Daphnia pulex: one gene and its partners. Each later gene encodes a partner of the first gene's protein in a complex. Links are inferred from orthologs where the notes say so. Each region holds a gene or a part of one and is shown on either strand. Other genes may lie near its edges. The genes, in order: ribosome biogenesis regulatory protein homolog, HEAT repeat-containing protein 3-like and ribosome production factor 2 homolog.

What was found.
Region 2: ribosome biogenesis regulatory protein homolog (region 1) and HEAT repeat-containing protein 3-like share a complex: the UniProt entries of both Homo sapiens proteins name them as parts of the hexameric 5S RNP precursor complex. The link is inferred for Daphnia pulex from reciprocal best matches to the Homo sapiens genes RRS1 and HEATR3.
Region 3: ribosome biogenesis regulatory protein homolog (region 1) and ribosome production factor 2 homolog share a complex: the UniProt entries of both Homo sapiens proteins name them as parts of the hexameric 5S RNP precursor complex. The link is inferred for Daphnia pulex from reciprocal best matches to the Homo sapiens genes RRS1 and RPF2.

Annotation. Positions count from the first base shown.
Region 1 is NC_060028.1:7,484,457-7,491,389, reverse strand, and holds ribosome biogenesis regulatory protein homolog, read left to right. Parts: upstream 1-3,453; 5' UTR 3,454-3,506; coding exon 3,507-3,664; intron 3,665-3,733; coding exon 3,734-3,986; intron 3,987-4,053; coding exon 4,054-4,448; intron 4,449-4,510; coding exon 4,511-4,775; 3' UTR 4,776-4,819; downstream 4,820-6,933. Other genes in the region: 2',3'-cyclic-nucleotide 3'-phosphodiesterase-like, read right to left, coding at 1,936-2,267, 2,327-2,564, 2,636-3,004, 3,071-3,073; uncharacterized protein LOC124209703, read right to left, coding at 5,142-5,283, 5,364-5,531, 5,599-5,813, 5,882-5,977, 6,044-6,277, 6,347-6,895. UniProt on the Homo sapiens protein: Involved in ribosomal large subunit assembly. May regulate the localization of the 5S RNP/5S ribonucleoprotein particle to the nucleolus.
Region 2 is NC_060021.1:11,399,320-11,407,215, forward strand, and holds HEAT repeat-containing protein 3-like, read left to right. Parts: upstream 1-3,235; 5' UTR 3,236-3,396; intron 3,397-3,456; 5' UTR 3,457-3,457; coding exon 3,458-3,655; intron 3,656-3,720; coding exon 3,721-3,796; intron 3,797-3,854; coding exon 3,855-4,382; intron 4,383-4,444; coding exon 4,445-4,552; intron 4,553-4,613; coding exon 4,614-4,952; intron 4,953-5,031; coding exon 5,032-5,723; 3' UTR 5,724-5,773; downstream 5,774-7,896. Other genes in the region: pupal cuticle protein Edg-91-like, read left to right, coding at 1-65, 121-204, 339-476, 576-678, 743-941; glycine-rich protein 5-like, read left to right, coding at 1,800-1,808, 1,875-1,959, 2,023-2,115, 2,200-2,741; serine/threonine-protein kinase 16-like, read right to left, coding at 5,827-6,072, 6,136-6,290, 6,344-6,539, 6,600-6,834, 6,894-6,985; nucleoporin NUP42-like, read right to left, coding at 7,313-7,816, 7,879-7,896. UniProt on the Homo sapiens protein: Plays a role in ribosome biogenesis and in nuclear import of the 60S ribosomal protein L5/large ribosomal subunit protein uL18 (RPL5). Required for proper erythrocyte maturation.
Region 3 is NC_060026.1:16,286,349-16,293,478, forward strand, and holds ribosome production factor 2 homolog, read left to right. Parts: upstream 1-3,874; 5' UTR 3,875-4,017; coding exon 4,018-4,034; intron 4,035-4,093; coding exon 4,094-4,226; intron 4,227-4,291; coding exon 4,292-4,451; intron 4,452-4,517; coding exon 4,518-4,797; intron 4,798-4,857; coding exon 4,858-5,002; intron 5,003-5,066; coding exon 5,067-5,225; 3' UTR 5,226-5,260; downstream 5,261-7,130. Other genes in the region: protein O-mannosyl-transferase TMTC4-like, read left to right, coding at 1-479, 540-654, 715-1,034; spermatogenesis-associated protein 5-like protein 1, read right to left, coding at 1,212-1,358, 1,422-1,756, 1,816-2,143, 2,209-2,298, 2,360-2,533, 2,591-3,631. UniProt on the Homo sapiens protein: Involved in ribosomal large subunit assembly. May regulate the localization of the 5S RNP/5S ribonucleoprotein particle to the nucleolus.

The DNA of each region.
Region 1 (6,933 bases):
TGTTTCCCTTTATTGTGTTCTGTTCTCCACGTATAGGCACTTTGCAGTTTATGACGATTTGTTAACCAATTTAAGTACTGTCACGTGCAAAGAAGGGCCAGATGTAATCAATCGTCTGTGAATGATTCTGAATTGTGAACGCTCTACACATTTGTACTACTTTTATAATATTGTTTCCTCACAATCGATCACATGACATGCCACAAAATACACGTCAAGCCACGATTATGGAAGTTTTACATTTGTTTCTTGTGTGGCTGTCGTATCGGAAACAACATGGTCTCGAGGTTTCCTGCAGCAGTTTGTTAAGCGAGGTTTTAGCCAAATAGATGTTTGGACTTAGATTATCACTTTTTACAAGAAATTTAAGAAAGTTTTTAGTTTTTTACAATGCGGAGGAACACAATCGCGACCTTAAATATTTGCTGAAATGTTCATATTATTATTATTACATTTAATACCTATTATTACATTAATGGGTTGTTCACTTGGAAACAGTGCGTATAACAGCCGCTACCATGACGTCACGCTTCTTCGAAGAAGGCCTATTTGCAATGATGATGTACAATGCGATATGATTAACGTTGGAGCGACGTAGGGATGAATTTCTCATTCAAAGAGTTAGTAAAACGAGAACCCTTTGTCATTCTTCATTAGTCTCGCTGATGTCATAGGCACTGAACGGATTCTCCTGATTTTTCGCTCTAGTGGTGATGTGACTTTCAACTTTGTGTAACCAACACGAAGTAAGTTTTAGTCAGTAGTTTAATTTAGTAATCCTGGCATTCTGCGGTAACAACTGTTAATTAAGTCGTTTTGAAAATAGAATTGCAAGTTGGGTGGAACTATGATGAATGACCGAACCGGAGCGAAAGATGATTCCGGATCAGAATCCGCCAAATCAAAAAAAGAAGAAGTAGATAAAGTTCGAATCTACGACAAAACTACAAAGAGGATGAAAGAAGTTCTTACAAATGATGGAATCTCAACTTCCGTGGACGTTCATGGACAAACAGCAACCAACCTTCTGCAAACGATTCGACAGGTTCTTGGAACTGTTAGCAACGATAAGTTTGACTCATCATCTTACTTTCTCCTTCATGGTTGTCTCAACGAGTTGATTTCCTCTCACAGTGCGAAATTCGTTAGGCCTTATGAAGTTCCTATGAAAATCTACTTTCAATGCTGCAGTGAAACCATCTGTTTCGATGACAGTTTGAGGAAATATTTCCGAGAAATATTGTCTCCCATTCAATCCACCCCGTTAAAGGAAATAGGACAGCTGTGTTGTATTTACCGTTTTCGATGTATCGATTCCAAATGTAAATTTAATTACGTCGGTCAATCTATAAACTTCGAAGCTCGTTACAAGACTCATACCGGCGAGATGCTAGAAGCTTGGATGAATCACGAAGACAGGTTGGCCTTCGTGGCGGAAGGAATGCCTTTCACAAAGGACATCCACAAAACCCCCCCATCGGTCCTGTACGAACATCAGATACATGGCCACCCAAATGCAACCAGATTTAGTGATGTCTTTGAAGTGGACATTGTCCAGGGTTTGCCAGAAAATGCCAGCAATACCACAACTGACAAACGTGTTCGCCGTAGCTGGGAAATTTATTACCAGTGGCTCTACGAAGCAATGGCAAGCGAAGGTGGCGGATCGCGAAGATAGTAGAAACAAACATTCATCGCTATTTTCTACGCGTCAAAATAAATTCTTCCTCTACATATCTAACAATGTTTAATGGTTGACTTTCTTGGATCCCGTTTTCTTTACCGCAATCCAATTCTTTAATTACTGTTGCATTGAATAAATCAAAGATTACCAATTTCATAACTTTAATCAAGTTCACAAAGTTATTGAATGTTTAGCAATTTCCGATTTACACGTTTACGGAAGAGAGGCAAATGGATTTAGAATTGAGCTAACTATAGTTTTTGCTTAGTAAGAATCGCAAAGGCGCAACACAAACACAATAAGCTAAACGAAGCCGCAAGTTGGTGAGTTCCGCTGTCGTAACCGAGAAAGGTACTCTCAAGTAAAAACTGTTTAGTTGGGTAGAAAACCCACTGCCCATTTCCATAATTCCTTAGCCACCCACCTTTTGGTATGTCGTAGGTTTTCACTTCGCTTCCGTTTATACCTTCCAAACGAATCAGATCCACAAGATCGTATCCTGTTGTAACAGCACCGACGCCAGGTGAGCAACCCAATGTCAAATGCGCTTTGCTTCCATTTCCGGACGTTGGTTGGAAATTTCCTATGGCAAAAATTCTTAAACAAACCACACACATACCATATTGTATAGTAAAATCTTACCCATAACGTCAGGGTCTTGATCTGTCGAGTTTTCTTTATATGCTCGAAGGTTTTGACCATAGGTGATTGGAGTAATAAATGTTTTTGTGTTGACTTTTGCTTCTTTAGGGTTTCCTTCAGTATCGTTCTGATTCCAGACCAACAGCTGATTCTTCGTTAATTTGATACGGGCACCGAAAGTGCGAGGAGTTAGGATCCAACCAATCGAATGGAGAGTCGAGACCTGATTAAGATTTTCCTTGGAAAATAGAAAAAATTTATATTTATGCCTAAACATGCTTTGTTTCATTGTTCTCCATTACATTTTACCTTCACAACCTGTTTCTCAGAATATTCTTGAGCCCCTGGAACATAGTTGGGAGAAACTCCATTATACATTGCAGTACAATGAAGAACTTCATCAGCATTTTCTCTTGTGTAATGCAATAAGATGTCAGTTATGTATGTTTTCTGAGTAAAGTTTTGTACATCTTTCAAGAAATCTGGAATTTCTTGAAGAGTGTCGGCCAACATTTTACGGCTTCTGTTCAAGAAACTGGATGAATACTCAGTTTCAACAAACCAGCCATAGTACAATGGTAGTTCACTGTCAGCATTTTCTGCAGCTTCCACAACTTGGATTGGCATAATAATGCAACCAAGCACTGAGCTTAGCAGTAGTAATGATGAAAATGTCAACTGAAAAAATAAAAACAAATAAACAATGAGAGTAAATTAACAAACTTAGGAAAAGAAAAAAATCACCATTTTTTTGTAAAAATATTCTGAAAGTGTCTCTTTACTTTTCCCCCCTTTACAATAGATTGAATCAGTAACCTATCATTTAAATGCCAGCTTGTCACAACTTTCTTATCAAACGAAATCAGATATGACAACAAATGAAGCCCACTGGCTCCTCCACGTTAACTACTTTGACGACTTTAAAAACACAAAATTTACGCTGAGAGCTCATACACCGCCAATGATAAGTGACAAGATTAAATGCAAAGGTCCCAACCAGTAATAAAGAGATAACTGGAGTCTTTCGAGTTCTTCTTGTTTTCTTTTACACATCACACATACACGTGATTGCAATGTTGACAGCACCGTGAGTCCACCTGGCGGTAGACATTCGAATGTTTTGTATTTCGACTGCATTTCGAACTTGGAGCCACTTCATTAAAAGTTAGTCCTTTTCACAATGGCTGCTTCCATCGTTCAAAACGTGCTCTCCAAAGCGGCAGAAGACGAAGCAGAAAAACTAAAATCTATTCAAGTTGACAAAGTTGTAGAATTAGAATACGACGTGGGAAATCTTCTAGCTTATGACATTAATGACATTGACGTTAATCAGTTCAGGTAAGTCGTCTCGAAATGACATTTTTATGTATCATACACGTGTTTAACATGTTTTTGCTCTAACAACAGAGCGGACAAAGAGGCATACCTCGCAAATCTTTCAAGAGACAATGTCCAACTCTTGATCAACCAGATTTTTCAACTACCAACAATCAAAGTGGACAATGAAGTTGTGATTAAGCTGCCATCTGCTACCACAAGACTTCCACGAGCCAAGCCTGCACCCAAAGAAAAAGCACTCAGCAAGTGGGAGAAGTATGCTAAAGAGAAGGGGATCACCAAACGAAAGAAGTCAAAAGCTACCTGGGATGAAGAACTTCAGGCATGTTCACCGTACTTATAAATTTGTCACTTGTCCAAATAACAATATTATTTTTTTATTTCTGTAGAAATGGGTTCCTAGATTTGGCTTCAAAAAAGCTCTTGCTGAAAAAGAGAAAAATTGGGTTGTTGAAGTCCCAGGAAATGCCAAGGATGATGTTGATCCAATTGCATTGCGTAAAACAAAAAAACAAGAGTCTGTTGCCAAGAATGAATTGCAGCGGCTGAGAAACATTTCTGCCAGAATGCAGAAGTCGAAAACAAAAGCCAAAATCAGTTTAGAGCCAACTGAAAGGCCAACAGCAGAGCAACTTAATCGGTCAGTTTTCATAGCACACACAGCGACAGCATCAGTGGGTAAATTTCAACCTAACCTTAAAGAGCAAAAGCCTGTTTTGAAGAGTGGACAAAAAAGACATTTTGATCCATTGGTTGGTGATATCAAGAGAGAAACATCAAAGAGGTATCAATATAAATTATTGTGATTAGTAATGGTTTTCTACAGCTATTTTTTTTTCTTTGTAGTCTTGACATATTGAACAAGCTGAGTAGCAAGAAACCAAAACTGGACATCGATAAAGCCGTAAATCGGGAATTAAACACTCCGGGATCCCTCGACTATAAGGGTAAAGGCATGGAGAAGAAATCGAAAACTCAGTTGAAAAAAGATCTTGGTAAAAGAAAACACAAGGGAACTAAAGATAAAAAAATGAGTGGTAAAAAGGGGGACCGTTCTGCTGGGCGAAGCACCGTTAAGAAAGGAGGAAAACGTACTGGAAATAAAAACTAAAACGAATGAAGTATTCCATATACAATACAATTGTGAAGTTTCGAGTTTCAGCATTACTTTTTTTATTACAGGGAAAATCTTTAAGGTTAACTATTTGTTGCTTATTTTAAGAGTTTAATTGTGTACGTAAGCTTGGTTATAACGTATAATTTAATCCATTTACATTGAGAGATATTTAGCCTCCGTTACTATAAGTTAACCGTGTGCTACACAACCTACGTTATTTTGAAAATTTAAGTAATCAACTATTGGTAGACACAGACAGCATAAAACCATGAAGACAAAGAATCAAGTTGAATCACGATGCTTTATTATAGTTGCAGTCAATGCCTTTTATCAAGAACATAACATTGGAATTTATATTACTCAAAACCTGTAATTGGCAAATATGCGGCAAAATCCGGGCTTAAGTCGTTCAGCTGTAGAAACAAGAAGCCAGAAATCCGATTCGGCTATCTTCATTGTTTTTTTCAATTGATTTCGCATTTGTTTGAGACTCTCTCCATTTCTTACATATTTAAAGGTGCAATATTAGCGTACTTAACTGATGATGAATAAATTTTCGTTAATAGTTAAGCGGGAACTTACGGGAAGGGTTTTGATTGAAAAGCTTTAATAACATCATGAGCTTGCAAAGCCAATGCTTGATGGAAAGCTGCAATGATTCTAGACCAGTGCTCAGTATTATGAGTAGCAAGCTGCTCCAGACACCATCGAACATAGCGGCTAGACTCACCACATGGACGGAAAACGCTCCTATTTTGTAAGGAAAAAAACAGAATTATATCAAATTTTGTTAACAGGAAAATTTCTATTCACTTACTCAGTTGAAAAAGGAATGTTTGGTTCTCTTCGCTGGATAATATTAAACTCTTGTTCACGAGCGTGACGCTGTTTACTTCGATAGTGCTCATGAACGTTTCCCGAAAATTTGATTTTGCCCCTCTGCGAAAGGTCCAGTAATGTGAGAGGAAATTCATTCAACAAAATGTCTGCACAATTTATGTCTCTCACTCCATTTACATTCTCTAACAGTCCCTTTGAAAAATAGAAAACGAGGATTATATTTAACGCTTGTCCGCTGGGATCAGTAAAACTACACTTACTTGAATGAATAGTCCACTAGCGAATGTTTTCGCAGCATAACGCGAACAGAGAATCTGATGAGTATCTGGAAGAAAAAATGCTAATACATCTATAGCCTAAAAGTTGTAACACATTAAATCAATTTATGTTTATTTGGGTATGAAATGTGCATGCAGAATTACCCCATTGATATGTTCTTCACTTTTTCCAACAACACAGCAAGATCCCATAGTTGTGAGCATTGATGTGATAGCCACATCCCAAGCTACCAGAGATAGCTTTAACATTATCTGTTTTATTGAGATGGGACTTGTTAATTGGGGCATATTAATTCTTAGCCTGCTGCTGTCTTTCAGTATTTGATGGATTTCTCCAAGCCATTGTGAAACAATGGGCTCTTCATGGTAGTTTAAATCCTAGAGGCAAAATAAAAACTTTAAAAAATTAGTGATTGGAATGGATATGATTTAAAAAAAAGAAGAAACCTGAGATAGCCCAACTTTAAGCCTTTCCACTGTTTTGTTCAGTAGATGCACAATAAGAGGTTGAAGATTCCAGAAGACATCAAGGCACTTTTCGTAGTAGAAGACCATACTGAGTGAGACCATATGAGGTTCTTCAATACAAATATTATTGGTTTCTCCATAATTATTAGAGAAACATAGGCAGTAAAATGTAGAAGTTTGGGATGCAAACCCTAGTGCTGGAACACTCAGAGAGATTTCATTTACTCCATCATAATCAGTATGCTTTGTTTTTGCCAAATGACCAGTCAAGGTATGGACTGAAATATATTTTGCAATTTGATCTTCTTCAACTTTCATGGAAAAAGTCTTTCTCTGTGAACTTGATTCATCAGTTGAATCAATGCCTTTTTCTTCTTTGATTTCAATGCCCACTTCATCCACTTCATCATCAAAATTTGTGTTTTCATCGGAAAATACAAAACCAGATGTAGGCCATTTCTTCAACACTTTGGGACCTACAACATTATCCCAGGAGGCGAATATAAAACTGTGGAGCCAATCCCCCATTTATCACTTGCAAATAAGTCTTGCTCTTGACAAACTAT
Region 2 (7,896 bases), on another chromosome or scaffold:
CCTGTGCTTGCTATTAGTTGGACTGGTCCTAGTTCAACATGGCACCGAGGCAACGGATGGGAAAGGTAATATTATTTCAATTTTAATTGAATTTTGAACAATTTCCTTAATAATTTGTAGACTCGGGTTACGGCGCGGAATTTGGAGCTGTAGAAGAATACAATAGCGGTGAATACGAAGGCGGAGAATACGGAGGTGAGAAAGGTTAGCCCAGCTATGCTTAAGTAACTCGAGAAATCTAGAAATCACAATAATTTACTCACAAATAAAAATCAATTGTATAGCTTTTTTTGGTGTTGGAAAGTTAATTAATTCTTCTTATAATCAATTACGAATAGGACATTTTAAAGGACGCCATAAGGGGCACCATCACAAGGGGCACCATCACAAAGGGCACCATCACAAGGGGCACCATCACAGCGGTGGAGAATACGGGGGTGGAGAATACGGTGGCGGGGAATATGGAGGTGAAAAAGGTCAGTTAAATTTTTATTTCTACGAATAAGAAGATTCCCTAAATTTGCAAATAAGTCATCGTTTTCGAATCTTTAATTTTTGTGACATCATCATAAAAGGGCACCACAAAGGTCATCATAAAGGTCATCATAAAGGGCATCATAAAGGTCATCATAAAGGGCACCACAAAGGTCATCATCAACATCATCATCAACATCACGGGTGAATTCTTACCCAATCATTCTTAATCAAATTGATGATAACTCGAGTTCTTAACAATTCACAGAGTTGGGGAATACGGCGGTGGAGGCTTTGCTTACGCATCGGCTGGTGGCTACTCATCTCATCCGGCGGCATCCTATTCTTCACAACCAGATTTTGGTTTCGGAGGCCACGAAGGATTCCAAGGATCGCCAGGATACGGTTATCCGTCAGCTCCAATTTTTCCATCATATGGTGATACCTTCGCAGGAGATTATTATTAGTAACTAATGGCACTATTCATTTCATTCTACCACTTGAAGTGGTTCAACCTTCATACCCTTTTGTGCATTCCAGTTTGATTCTGTAGAATTGATTTGATATCATTATAGATTATACACAAAGTTTCTGCGATACTAATTCCAGTTGCGATCGTATGTTTTGATTTCCACAGGTGGGAGTGATTTAATAAAGACTGAAGATAAATTTCTATTTTTGTGTTGAGCAGATTTGCTTCACACTTCTCTGAAACCTTTCGTCTAAACTTCGTGGATTTCCTAAAAATGAAAGTCCAGACTTTTTAACAAAAGAACTTTCGCTGCATGACCCGATCCTATACAGCCGTCCAGAGTCTATATGTTCAACATAATGGTTTAGTCTACAGATTGTCGTCGTGTAACTCTCACTTTTTCAAGACTTCATGCAGTGTTAGCCTTGTGTATTAAATTTGGACGCCCGAGTTATTTCACCCTAAATAATTCTTCTCTTGAAAATTTTGAAGTGTCACGATGAACATGTCGTCAAAGGAAACTGGGTGAATGAGGTTTTTTCCCGATTCCCGAGACGATTAACCAGCCGGTGAAGGGAAAAGAAATGTCCTTGAATCAGAAGATGCTTTGTGGACCATCGCTAGAGTCCCGTTCCGCTGGATTAATCGAATTGAAAGAATAGGAACAAGGGGAAAAGTTTACTTCACACGGTCACAACTGACTTTCATTTCTCTTCTGTGATGTAGGTCCCGGTCTTTGACACCAGACTCACACCTTACGCACGGTGGGCGATCTATATATAAACGACTGTTGCTGACCATTTCAAACCACAGTTGACCAACGTTCTCGGTGCAGCTTGTTGATCGATTAAACATGGCAAAGGTAATAATGTTTTATTACTTAAATGTTAGGCAAATAATATTTTGTATTTTCTTTAACGGGATTCAGGTTAACATGAACACGCTGAAATGTTTTCTGCTTTTCGGATTGGTGCTAGTCCATGGCACTGATGCTACCAAAGGAAAGGGAAGGGGTACGTATAATCTATAAATGTCTTAGATGATTATTATAATTTACTTAAAATCAAAAATAATAGGTGGCGGCGGCTACGGAATGAGCTACGGAGGAGGAGGTGGATATGGTGGCGGAGGACATGGAGGAGGAGGGGGATACGGTGGCGGAGGACATGGTAATTAAATTTAAATTTAAATTATTAATCCTTCATGATTAATTTAAGTATGTTTTCTAACTTTAATTAATTTAAATGTTACAGGTGGTGGTGGGTATGGCGCTGCACCTCCACAAATCATTTACATTCCTGCTCCTCAACCAGTATACATTCCCGCTCCTCAGCCGATCCATCACGCTCCTCCTCCGCCTAGACCGGCTCCTGTCCCTTCTTACGGTGGAGGTGGGGGGCATAGAGCTCCAGGAGGATCAGGAGGCGCACCAGTTCACGTTCATGTTCATTCTGCTCCTGTTCATCAATCGGCTCCTTCTTACGGTGGAGGCGCTGGATACGGTGGTGGAGCGTCCGGAGGCGGTCATTCCAGCGGCGGATACGGTGGGGCTTCCGGAGGCGGTCATTCCAGCGGCGGATATGGTGGGGCTTCCGGAGGCGGCCATTCCAGCGGCGGATATGGTGGGGCTTCCGGAGGCGGTCATTCCAGCGGCGGATACGGTGGGGCTTCCGGAGGCGGCCATTCCAGCGGGGGATACGGTGGGGTGTCAGAAGCTGGATATGCTTCTGCTCCATCTTTCCAGCCGCCTCCAGTTTCCTCTTATGGTCCTCCTCCTCCTCAAGGAGGTTATTAACTCCGCCGTTTTCCCTTTACAAATCCTGAATAATCTCAGAATATTTGTCATCCATTGCTTGAATAATTTCATCGGTCCTCATATATATTTCTTAAACTATTTTCACTATCGTCCTTGTCTTTACAGATTTTGAGAAGTATTCTTCACTACCGTTTTCTCAAGTGTTCCTAATAAACCAACTTTAATATTTACTATAATTCCGAATAAACATTTCTGTGTATAGTAGACTTGATAGTATTTTTTAGAGAAGTACAGAGTAACCATTAATTATCACATTCAAGGCTTTTTCAATAGGACAAATGAAAAAACGAACATCAACAATAGCTTTTTTCTGAATTCACTTGATAGTCTTTTTCGTCTTGTATTCTGCTCTCTTTTTACTTTACGATAGGACCCTTTATTAGTTTACTGAAACGGACGAATTTCGGTATTTCTTTATACAGTAAAAGAAAAAGTAAAAGTGCAAAAGTGCCATCTGGGGATAGAAGTAAACATTTCTTTTTTCGTCTGCTTATCAAACATGTGCTCTGACATGTTGAAAGGTTCTTGTGCAAGTCTTGTGCGGGAGATCGTTTCTGGTTTTTCGTTATCATAGTTACTTGTACGAAACTTGGATAACATAATTTTTCTCCATATTATTAATTTTGTCAGCTAGGTAAGTGAAAAATTTATTTCCATTTATTTGGATAAAAAATTAACCTCAACATACCGGTAGGATGGGGAAATCCAAATCGAACCGACATAATAAGCAAGTTCGTGATAATCCCACTGGACTCGCTAATAAATCTGACTCTGAAGAAATTGTGATGGATTGTGCTGTCAAGAGTCCTTATACTGGAACTGCCCTCTCGTCAGAAACCCTAAAGTCTTTTTCAAGACAGTTACAAAGTTCATCAGCAGAAGAGCGGGACTGTGTATAATACCTTTTATTCTCCCTCCCTCTTAATCATCTTCTGTAACTATGTTTTTCTTTGTTTAGGCTTGCCATGCATTAGCAGGATTGATAAGAAATAATGAGGATTCATGTGCAGCATTACAAGAAGGACTAATAAAAGGTATGCATCGTCAATTTATAAGAAAATTAGAATCAAAACGATTTACGCTTTTATTTAGTTCTTGGTCCTCTATTGCTGGATACAAGTGCCTCTGTTTGTCATTCTACTGCTTCAGCACTTCATACGATAATTTCAAAAGGAGGAGATCAAGCGATCAAGCTTGCCATTGAACACGACATTTTAACACCACTGATTGCTTTATTAAAGAGAATCCCACCACAGTGGAAACCTCATAAAGCACCTGGCAACAAAATTGATACTTCTACAGCCACCTTTCTAGAAACAGTTGCAACATTAAATCTTCTCTCCGAAAGCAGCACTCTAGCTGTTGACCGGATACATCGCGAAAACATAGTTTCCATGTTAATTTCGTATTTGGACGTAAATGCGTATGGCTTAGATGTTGTTTCGTCGGTTGTCCAGTTCCTCAGCACAGTAACTGAAGAACAGGGTGATACTGACTACACAGAAGTTTTGAAAAAAGAGATTATTTCGAAATTCCTCAATGTGAAAGAATCTAGCCCTTTATTGAAAACTCTATCACTTATGATACTTCTTAACTTGAACCATCAGCAGTTGAATTCAGGTAAATTCTGTGCTGATAAAATGTGTCTAGATTTGTATTAACAATTTTTCAAATTAAATCAGAATTGGGACAGTCAACTCAAGATATTATAAATATCCTGACTTCTTCTCTTTGCCTTGATCAAAGGAAGGCAGCGTCTTCAGTGGTCGATCATTTACCGACAACTCAAGGTTTGTTTCTATATTAATGCTAATCATATTTCGGCTTTTCAGTATCCTAATTTTGTTATAGATGAAAACGGTGGGGATGCAATGGAAGAAGATTCTTTGGCCTCTAAATTATACGATTCTGTCGAAGCTGCCGAAGAATTAATCTCTGCTCAAATAAAATCTCTGGAAATATTAACCAATATTTGTTGTTCTGGAGACGATGGCGACTCGGATGAATTCTACGAAGATGAATCCATTAGCGATGAATCACTGGGTAATGAAGGATTTCAAGAAAGCCTTATAGACTTGAATCCCGAGTTGAAGAAAGCTTTCATCGATGCGCGACTATTTCAACTGGTTATTGAAAAAGCAAAATTACCGGCAACGAATATAATTGAAGCTTTAAATCAGCACCCAACAGGTTAGTATTTAACTTGATTCAACTCTCATTCTGTAGTGGAAGGTAAATTGAAATAATCTTGTCTTGTTTTGGATTTCAGGAAAATCTCTTATTAAACGTTACGAAGCGCTCCAATGTATGGGGTTCTTGTGTTTAAGTAACATGGTGATGGTTTTCGAAGTTGACGATATTGGTGGCAGCAAGGATTTATTCGACATTTGGTGTGGCTTAGCAGTCGTGGCTTTCCAGGGTAGTAAGTCGGAACAGATGCTGGGAAGTGCAACTGCTTCTATGCGTGCCATAATTCGAAAATTGTCGTATCATAAAGACATAGTCAACCTTTTGAAGTTAGAAGACATCACTCTCCTCTGTCAGAGAGTTGTAGACTGTTCTCATCCTCAGTCAAAAGTGAATTTGCTTCAGATACTCGGCACACTTGGCTCAATGGCAGCTGGAGTTGAACCACCCATGTTGGAACCTCGATCTTCGATTGTTCGCGGAATCGGTCAAATCCTTCTCGACACTGCTTGCCTTTCTCCTGACTTGTGGATTACAGCTGAAGCTATGGATGCCTTATTTGATGTTTTCAAGGAGGATCACACAGACCCAATTGTTGGAGATGTTCAACTGGTGGAGCGTTTAAGAACATTGGCACCCACTTTCAAGCATCGTGTCCATTCACAACGTCGTAGCCTACCGGCGGATCACCTCCCAGTTGTTATGACTGCTAGAGACAATCTACTCCGCTTCATCAAGTATAAGACAAAGCAACGATCGTTAGCTAATCGATAATGTAATGTATGAATTGTTGAAGCTTTAACAAAAGTTGCTATTGGACTGTTCTTCATTTTTGGCATTTATTATATTGATTTGTTATTGGTTAGAGTTTTATAGCCTACAACAACCCCTTGAGAGCTTCTATTGAACTGAGAACATCAGCAATGAAAGGTCTTTCTTTGGGATCAACAACAAGCAAAGTGGAAATTAAGTCGTTTACCGACGAATTGACTCCTGGGGAAGTGGAATTTGGAAAATGATTCATTCCACTGGAGGCAGCCAAAGCAACGCTATCTCCTCGTTCAAATACCTCATCAAAAGGCGATTTATAGTAGCAGAGGGCATATAGCAGGCACCCCAAAGACTAAAAAAAAGTCACAATTTATGGAAAAAACTTAACTTTTAAAATAATAACAATTTAAAATACCCAGATATCAGTACGCTCATCGATGGTAGACGGACTTTGGATGTTAAAAAGTTCTGGTGCGCGATAAGTCATGGAACAACGTTCTGCTGCATCATCTTGGAGTCTCTGAGCGGCGTTGTAGCTGGTTATCTCCACGGTAGCAGGAGCAGCAGAACCTAACAAGGTAAGTCTAGAATTTATACTTCCGGAGTTAGAGTTCAAATATTACCAAGGTCCATAATGACTACGCGGTCGTTAGGGGCAAGTAAAACATTCGCGGGTTTTAGATCTCTATGTGCTACTCCAATAACGTGTATAGCAGCTAATCCTTCACAAATTTGTTGAAAATAGTTGAGAATGAGCTTGTCAGATAATGGCTCTTTCTTTAATAATCTCTTTTCTAGTAATGTTTGCAATGATCCATACTAGGTAATAAGAGTGCATGTAGATCATGAGGTAATTGATGCCTTAAAAAATCTTATTACCTTGTAAAATGGTAATAGAAGTAGGACTAAACTAGTTTGATTGCTTGAAATATCAGCACTTCCAACTGTTCTGAAAGCAAGACACTCAATAACTGAGGGATGGTTGATTTGCTTGTGGTATCGGATTTCTTGTTCTGCAGCTTGTTCATCTTCGGTGCTGTGACATCGAATTTTTTTTAAGGCGTAAAGGCGATCACTGGAAGCCTCGCTTACCAGGTCAACTGTGCTGAAACCACTACGAATTTTTAAAATTTTAGCGAGACATTTGTACATGTTGTGTAATAGCATTATTACCCTTGGCCAATAAGTTCACGCACAAAATATCGCTTCCCATCGATATCGTAATATTCTCTCGAACAAAAAACACTAAAAATACGTTGTAACATGACAGAAGTGGTTCTAAATGTCAGATCGTTGGACTAAATAACTGAATGTTGTTCGTCTGCTTCTGTCAAAAGTACAATCCCGTCATAATCGTATTTTCAAGTTAAACCTTGGGTTTGGCAACCAAAGTCTTGCTAACAAACAGATAAAAAAAATAAAAATAAATAAATTCCAGAGCAACGGAATACAACCTCGGCGATAAATTACAGTGTAAATCGTAAAACTAAAGCGACTGAGAAATTAGATTTTATTTGAATTTCCAATAATTTTGTAATACCTTTACATACTTAAACGGCTAAATCACAACAACAGAACTGTGTTAACAATTTTTAACGAAATTCTTTTGGTGGCGGAATGCGTGGAATTTTTCCAAACGAAAATTTGTCAGCTTTGAATTGTTGTATGTTAGTCTGACTTAACTGAGGGCCGTAGGACGAATTTTCAGCAACATGAGAAATTGCATGGATGTTGAAAGAATAGTTTACTGCAGATTGAATGGGAAGCTGAGAAGGTAATTTAAAGCTGAAAGATGGTGCAGCAGCAGACTGTTGAGCTTGTTGTTGAGCTGGTTGAAAAGTGAAAGGTGCTGCTACTGGTGCAGCAGGTTGTTGAGAAGGCAACTTAAAGCTGAAAGGTGCAGCAGCAGGCTGTTGTGAAGGTAACTGAAATTTGAAGGGAGCAACAACACCTTGGTGAGGCTGGGTGGAAGGCAGAGCAAAGCTAAACTGAGACGGACTGGAAGTTGCATTGACGTTATTTGCAGAGAGAGATGGTACAAAAGTTGCTAAAGCTGTGCCTGCTGGACTAACATTTTCCCCACGTTCATATTGGACCTGAAGAGAAGAAAATATGTTTTAACTAGGAAATAGCTTAAAAATATTTTCAAAATATTTACAATAAAGTTTGAAGTGGC
Region 3 (7,130 bases), on another chromosome or scaffold:
TTGGCCATTCCAAATTGTGGATCTTGCGGGGCTGCCTCCTGGCCGTCATCCTAACCTTTGGTTTGAAATCCTTCCGCCGGAATCTGGATTGGCAAGACGAGGGTCGGCTATTCCTGTCCGGATTGGCCGTTTGTCCGCTCAACGCCAAAGTTCACTACAACATTGGCAAAAATGCGGCGGATCGGGGATTGAGAGACGTGGCCATCGATCGCTACGAAAAGGCCCTGGAACTGAATCCGGACTACGACCAGGCCATGAACAATTTGGCCAATTTGCTCAAAGATTTGGGCCGTTTTCAGTCAGCTGAGGATTGGCTTGTCAAAGCTATTAGTGTTAGACCCGATTTCGCTGCCGCATGGATGAACCTGGGCATCGTCCAGGCACTTCTTCGTAAGCACAAAGAGGCCCGCGTGAGTTACTTGACGGCCTTGAGTCATCGTCGAAAGTATCCCGACTGCTATTACAACCTGGGAAACCTCGTAAGTTCTAATGTATTTCATTCAAATTTGATGTTAATTACTAAATTCAATTTTTAAAAGTATTTGGAGCTGGGACAATTCCGGGAAGCGGAAGAAGCCTTCAGGAACGCAACTTTGTTGCAGCCAACCCACGTCCTGGCCTGGACCAATCTCATCGTTATGTTGGACAATACAGGTAAACTTTTAATAATTTAACATTTTAATTCAATTTAACTAATCTTGGTTAACAAATCAGGTCAATCGCAACGATCGGAATCTACGGCGCTGGAAGCCCTGGCCATTCTACCCAACGAAGCCAATTTGCATTTCAGTCTGGCCGGAATTTTAGGCAAGCAGAGTCAATTTAAAGCGTCCGAGCTCCACTTCCTGTCGGCCATTCGACTCAATCCGCACAGTCCCATCTACCACACCAATCTAGGTGTGCTCTATCACCGATGGAAAAAATTCCAGCTGGCCGAGCAGTCGTACCAGCGAGCCCTGTCACTGGACCCCCAATGGAAAAGTGCGACGGAAAATCTCAAATTGCTGCAAAAGGCGAAACAGAATCAATTTTAAAATGATCTCTCTTGCTTTTATGTTTAACTCCTCTCAATCTCTTATTTCCCAGTGTCTTTTTGTCTTTGGAATTTTTGGGGCTTAAACGGTAGCTAGTCCTAATCTTAATTGGCGAGCTTAACTAACACGAAATGGAATACAACCGCAATCTTTTGTTTGTTTTCAGTGACTGGCTTTTTATTTTCTCTTACCAGAGGCGTAATCCCGATAGAAATCGGCTTGTTCAAGTGTGATAGAAGGCGGGACTTTGGCCAGGGCTTGTTCGAAATGTCGCTGGAGGATTTCAAAGGCAGATAAATCTTCTTCCAGGGCTCCCAGTGCGGCCTGATAATTCCGCAAAAGTTGTTTTTATTATTCAAGAACATTTAAGGTTAAAAGTTTTGTCACCTCTTTGGTCAGGGATTCTAAATCAGCTCCTGAAAAGAGTTCCGTTCTTTCCGCCAGGATTTTCAGGTCGACCTCCTTCAACGGCATCTTCCGGCAGAGTGACTGAAGGACGGCCAATCGTGCAGTTTCGTCTGGATGTGGGATGTGAACCAGCGAGTCGAAACGACCTGGACGAAGTAGAGCCCCGTCGATTTTGTCGGGTCGATTGGTGGCGCCAACTACCACGACTCCTTGGCTGGATGAAATGCCGTCCATTTCTTGAAGCAGGGCCGCCACCACACCCAGTTGGGCTGTCCGGCCGTGATTGGCGTTGGTACGTCCACCAACCATTGCGTCTACAAAATCACCAAATTAAAATATTTTCAATAATATTCCGAGGGATTGATTAAGTTACCTAATTCGTCTAGGAATAGGATAGCCGGAACTGCCTGGCGGGCTCGCCGGAAGAGATCCGAGACCATTTTCTCCGAGTCTCCGACGAACGGAGAAAAGAGTTCGGCGGCTGAAATAGACAGAAAGGAAGCCGTGCACGAAGTGGCTGCCGCTCTGACCAGGAGCGATTTTCCACAGCCTGGAGGGCCGTAAATTAAAACGCCTTTCGGCCGGGGCACATTGAGCCTCTCAAAAGCTTCAGGGTGTTTCAGCGGCCATTCAACACTGCGGCGGATGTACATACGGGCCTCTTCCAATCCTCCGACTTCATCCCAGCTGACTCGACGGAACTGTGCAAAATCAAAAAATTAATTTTCAAATAATTTTTTACGGAGATAAACGTCAAAGTTATTACCTCGCCACTTCCGGTACTTTCTCTCATAGCGGATGGCCTAACACGACCAATAGCTGCCTTCCACTCTTTGAGTGTCAATAGGCATCGATCCTGTCCCGAAAATTAGTTGGTCATCAGCTTCGTCTGGAGTAAATTATTATTACAAAATTACCAGTGAAAGATAGAGGGCTTCACGACACAAAAGATTTAAATCTGCGCCAACGTAGCCGGGGGTCATTTCAGCCACTTGTTTCACATCTTCCAAGTCTGTGTACAATTCAATTTCTTCGCAGATGGCTTTAATGATCTCTTCCCGTTGATGGCAATTGGGGGCATACAAATGGACCTTTTAAATCAAATCAAAATTAGACGAAAGCAAATTAGGAATCACAATTAAATTTACTTCTCTGTCGAGTCTGCCTGGCCGACGAAGAGAAGGATCGACATCTTCCAACCTGTTGGTGGCCGCCATGATGGTCAAGTTGCGGTTAGTATGAACGTCGTCAATCAAGCCCGTTAGGCAAGTAATCAGACGATTTGTGTGGGTTTGACCACCTCGTTTAGGGCAAATGGAATCCACGCCGTCCAGAAATAGAACTGTGGGACTCGACACGCTTAAAGTTTCCTTGAAAATGTTTCTCAATTTGTCTTCGCTGCCTCCTGGATCGGATGACGAGAGATCCGAGCAAGTGACTGGGATGAGAAACAGGCCGTTTTCAGCGCAGAGTTGCTGGACGATTGAACTTTTCCCGCAGCCCGGTGGACCGTGTAAAAGAATTCCTCTAGGCGCGCAAAGTTGAGCAAACACTTGGGGATGCTGTAGAGGATACACCACTAGTTCTTTCAATTTGTTGTAGGCTTCATCTACTCCTCCCATTCTTGTCGTTTGGACTCGTTCTTGAATTTTCATCCATTTCTCTGTGATGATGTTTTCAATCTTGACTTGGGTTTTGGCAGACACTGTCAGAGCTCCACCGTCAGGTTTCGTTTCCAGGACCAAAATTTTCTCTACATTCCCTGCGGAAAAGTATTTGCCAACAGTGATTGACGAAAGCGGGGTGATGATCTTGTTTGAAAGAAGACTCTTGATCAACAGGGGCAACTTGCATTGTTTCAAATGGTTGACACTTTGAAAACTATCAGTTACGATAGTTACAGTTATACTTGTTGCCGGTTTCAGTGACAATTTTGAAACACTGAAATCCCTCGTCACTACTGGATGAGTGATGAGAAACTTTCTACGTTCACTGTAAATTTGAACGGTATTTTCAACAACTGCATCATTTTTCAAATCAGTCCTAGGGAAGAGCTTGCAAATGAAGGTTCCCTTGTTTGTCGTCACTTTCACTGGGCATCCAACTTGACAATTTAAAGTTACAAATTCCGCAACAGGAAGACAGCACTTTTGACTGCCAATCTCTGAACCAATAACGACAGTATTCATTTTTACTCTTGATTTTTGCAGATATTTTCGTTTCGGGGCATGCTGTCACTGTTATTTTGATTTGAGATACGGCGTTGCCAAAGACGCTAAACAAGATGAAAAATTAAAGAAAAATTTTACAAATGTCATTAGTTATTTGATTCAAGTTCAATTTTATTTTATCCCTTTTTTTCTGTACCATTTCAGAGAAATTGTAGCATTTTTTACAAAATTTAATTTCGCCATGTTGCAATTTGAGACTCAAGTTCTAGCAGACGAATTGTTACACTCAAACTCAAACCGCGTGTTGGTTGGGAGACGTGTCTGTCTAAAATCCTAACAAGTTATCCAAACTTGTTAAATATTACTTTGTGTGACATTTCGTACCTTAATATACTGTTAACAGAATGAGCGTCAGAATTACGTAAGTGAAGAAATTACAAGTATTTTTTCGTAAAATTGATTATCATCTGTTAATTGCAGGAAACCCAAGACCCACCGCGGTAAGCGGATGCTGGCAAAACGAGAGCCAAAAATCGTTGAATTGGCTAAACAAGCTTTGATGCTTCGTGGTTCTACTGCCAGCGTCACATCCCTTCAATTTGTCAAAGATTTGGTACTATTGCTACAAGCTTATAAGCTTTTGGGTTGTATGTTTTCTAACATTTCGTTCTACTTCAGTATGCCATCAAACGGATGCAATCAACATACTTTGGTCAGAAACACCCTTACAATCCATTTGAAGATGTTAAACCGATAGAAGAACTGACTCAGAAATATGACCATTCTTTATTTGCATTCTGCTCAGACAACAAAAAGAGGCCCAACAATGTTATTCTGGGTACAATTTGATCTCTAAATTTTGTTTGAATTTATGGCCTAAACTAAAAGTCATCTAAATTTTCAGGAAGAATGTTTGACCACCAGTTGCTCGACATGATTGAATTTGGTGTGGAACAGTTCAAATCCTTGACTGCAATTCGCAACGCCAAAGTGATGGATGGTAACAAGCCTTGCCTGATCTTCTCTGGTGATGTCTGGCACCAAAACGAAGAGTATTCCAAATGCAAATCTTTGCTCATCGACTTTTTCCGTGGAGAAGTAGTGGAACAAGTTCGTCTTGCTGGTTTCGAACATGCTCTTTCTTTCACGGCTGTTGACGGCAAGATTTTCCTCCGCAGTTACAAGTATTTTTCTATATTTTTCATTTCATTTTTGAGATTGTAATAATCAAGTTTTTATAAAAGGATTTTGATGACCAAAAGTGGAACTAAAACTCCTCATATTGAATTGGAAGAAATCGGACCTTCGGCCGACTTGGTCATCAGAAGAACCAAATTGGCCTCAGCTGATCTATTCAAACGGGCGTGTCGCACACCAAGCGCTGCCAAGGTAATTTTTCTATTGGCTACTTCCATTTCAAATTTACTGAATAGTATTATTTGCTTTTAAACAGCCCAAGAAAGTCAAGAACATGTCCAAGGACGTTTTCGGTTCGAAACTCGGCCGCATTCACATGCCACGTCAAGATTACAGAAAGTTGCAAGTTAAACGCGGAAGAGCTCTGCGGACTGAAAAGTCACCCAAAAAAGCATCAAAACTTTCCAAGAAGTGAACGGTTGAAATTAATAAAGACTTTGACAAACACGACTCGTATGTACTGTGCACGATTTAAATTATCAGGCTTATTAGGTACCTCCATTTAGTGTTTTTCTCTCCTGTGGACCTGTGGTTACTCTATTGGTAATATTATTTTAAGCATTTTTGAATTAACTTTAATTTTTCCAGTATCGATGGATTTGCTGGATCGGTTAGAATTTGAGAAAGAAAAGGAACTAAACAAATTTAACTGGGAATTGGTCGACTCCGCTTCTAGCACTTAAAGGCTTATGGTTTAGTGTTAAATGAATAATCACATCTTAGCTTTGCCAGAGGTATCACCACTATTTTGAATTAAAACTACAAGAATTTATCTCCCCACAAAAACTAGGTAAAATGGAAATGCCGAATTGTGTATTTTTAATTACTCGTCATTTCAATTTATTGACATATGCCTGTAATGTAATTATTTTGATCGGTAGTGGGAAAAGCAGCTACTTGCAATGTGGGAGTAATGGATTTCAAGCAGAAGCTTCGATGACGGTGTTGATGCCTTGCATGGTGGATGTCCAGGCTTGTTTGGCTTCCGGAGTGAAGGCGGAGCCGAGAGTGGCAGCCAAAAATACCAGCAACACGGTGGCCATGTTCTACAATTCATTGGATAAGTAATCTAAATTTTCTCAACTACTTTGTATAAGATACTCACGTCGAAATGGGCTCGAGTTGTTCCGCGCTGTTTATGCTGGTTGGCCAGATCAACCAATTTGCCATTGAGAGCATCCGGATTGCCCAAAGAGTCGATGATTTCCGACAATTTGGTGACGACATTGACTGACAAGGTCTGAATTGGCCGAAATCACATTTAGATTTTGTTTAATTTACAGGTTGCAAAGTGTTTTGGACTTACTATGAGAGCAGCGTTGCTCAACAGTTGGCCGGATGGAACATTGGCGATGGTGGGGAACATGGCTTGGTATTCCGGATGAGCAGTCAACAGTCTTCCAAGTGGATTAGTCACACATGGTTAGTATCTTTCAATTATTTATAGTAAAAATTTAAGATACTTACGCCACGTAGAATTGGGGAGCAAAAGTGCTGATGTCCGATTTAATGACGGCCCAGGTGCTTTGAACGGCAGCAACGTTGACTGAGTTGAGGACGTCCATTGTACTGGTGATGCGACTTTTAGGAAACAATTACAGTTGAATTCAACTTGAAAGAATTGTCGGTTATCTTGCTCACCGGTTAGTTTGCTGCTGTTGGAGATTTGACAGTTGACTGATTGTCTAAGCGATGGGGAAGCCCGTCTTTTATAGGCCCACAATAGATGGGTTGGGGGGGATTCCCTCCTCTGTTCCTTTTGTAAAAAGGGACGACGTGTGAAAGAAACGCGCATCCAGTCACGTAGACATATGGAAAATAATACGCCAAAGAGAAGCCACTTGAGTGATTGACTGTCCTACCACTCAGCAGCCATGTGACAGATGCCACGTTCAAACTGGGAATTGAGTGGCGTCCGTTTTCCTTCAAATGTCAACTTAGTTTTGTTTGTGGATTTCGACATGATGCGTCCATCAGGGTTAGCGGTGAGTGGATGGGTTTTTACCAAGCACACAGCACCTTTTGCTGCCTAAAACTCCGTCTCGAGATGATCAAGTTCAATGTGAGCAACAACCGGCGGATTTTGTCGATATGAAATTCCAACTGAATTCAACGCGGAGGTACTGGAAAGTAGATTTTCCTAAACTATTAGAATAAGTTTATATGTTGGAAAAAGGAAGAATGGAAAAAAGTAAGATCTTTTTTAACGAATAATTACTTACGATTTGCTATTAAACATAAGGTCGAATACCGCAGTGGTTAGCAATCTGATTTGCTACAACATGCGTCGATGGTTCAAACCTCGGCAAAGTCTAAAAAC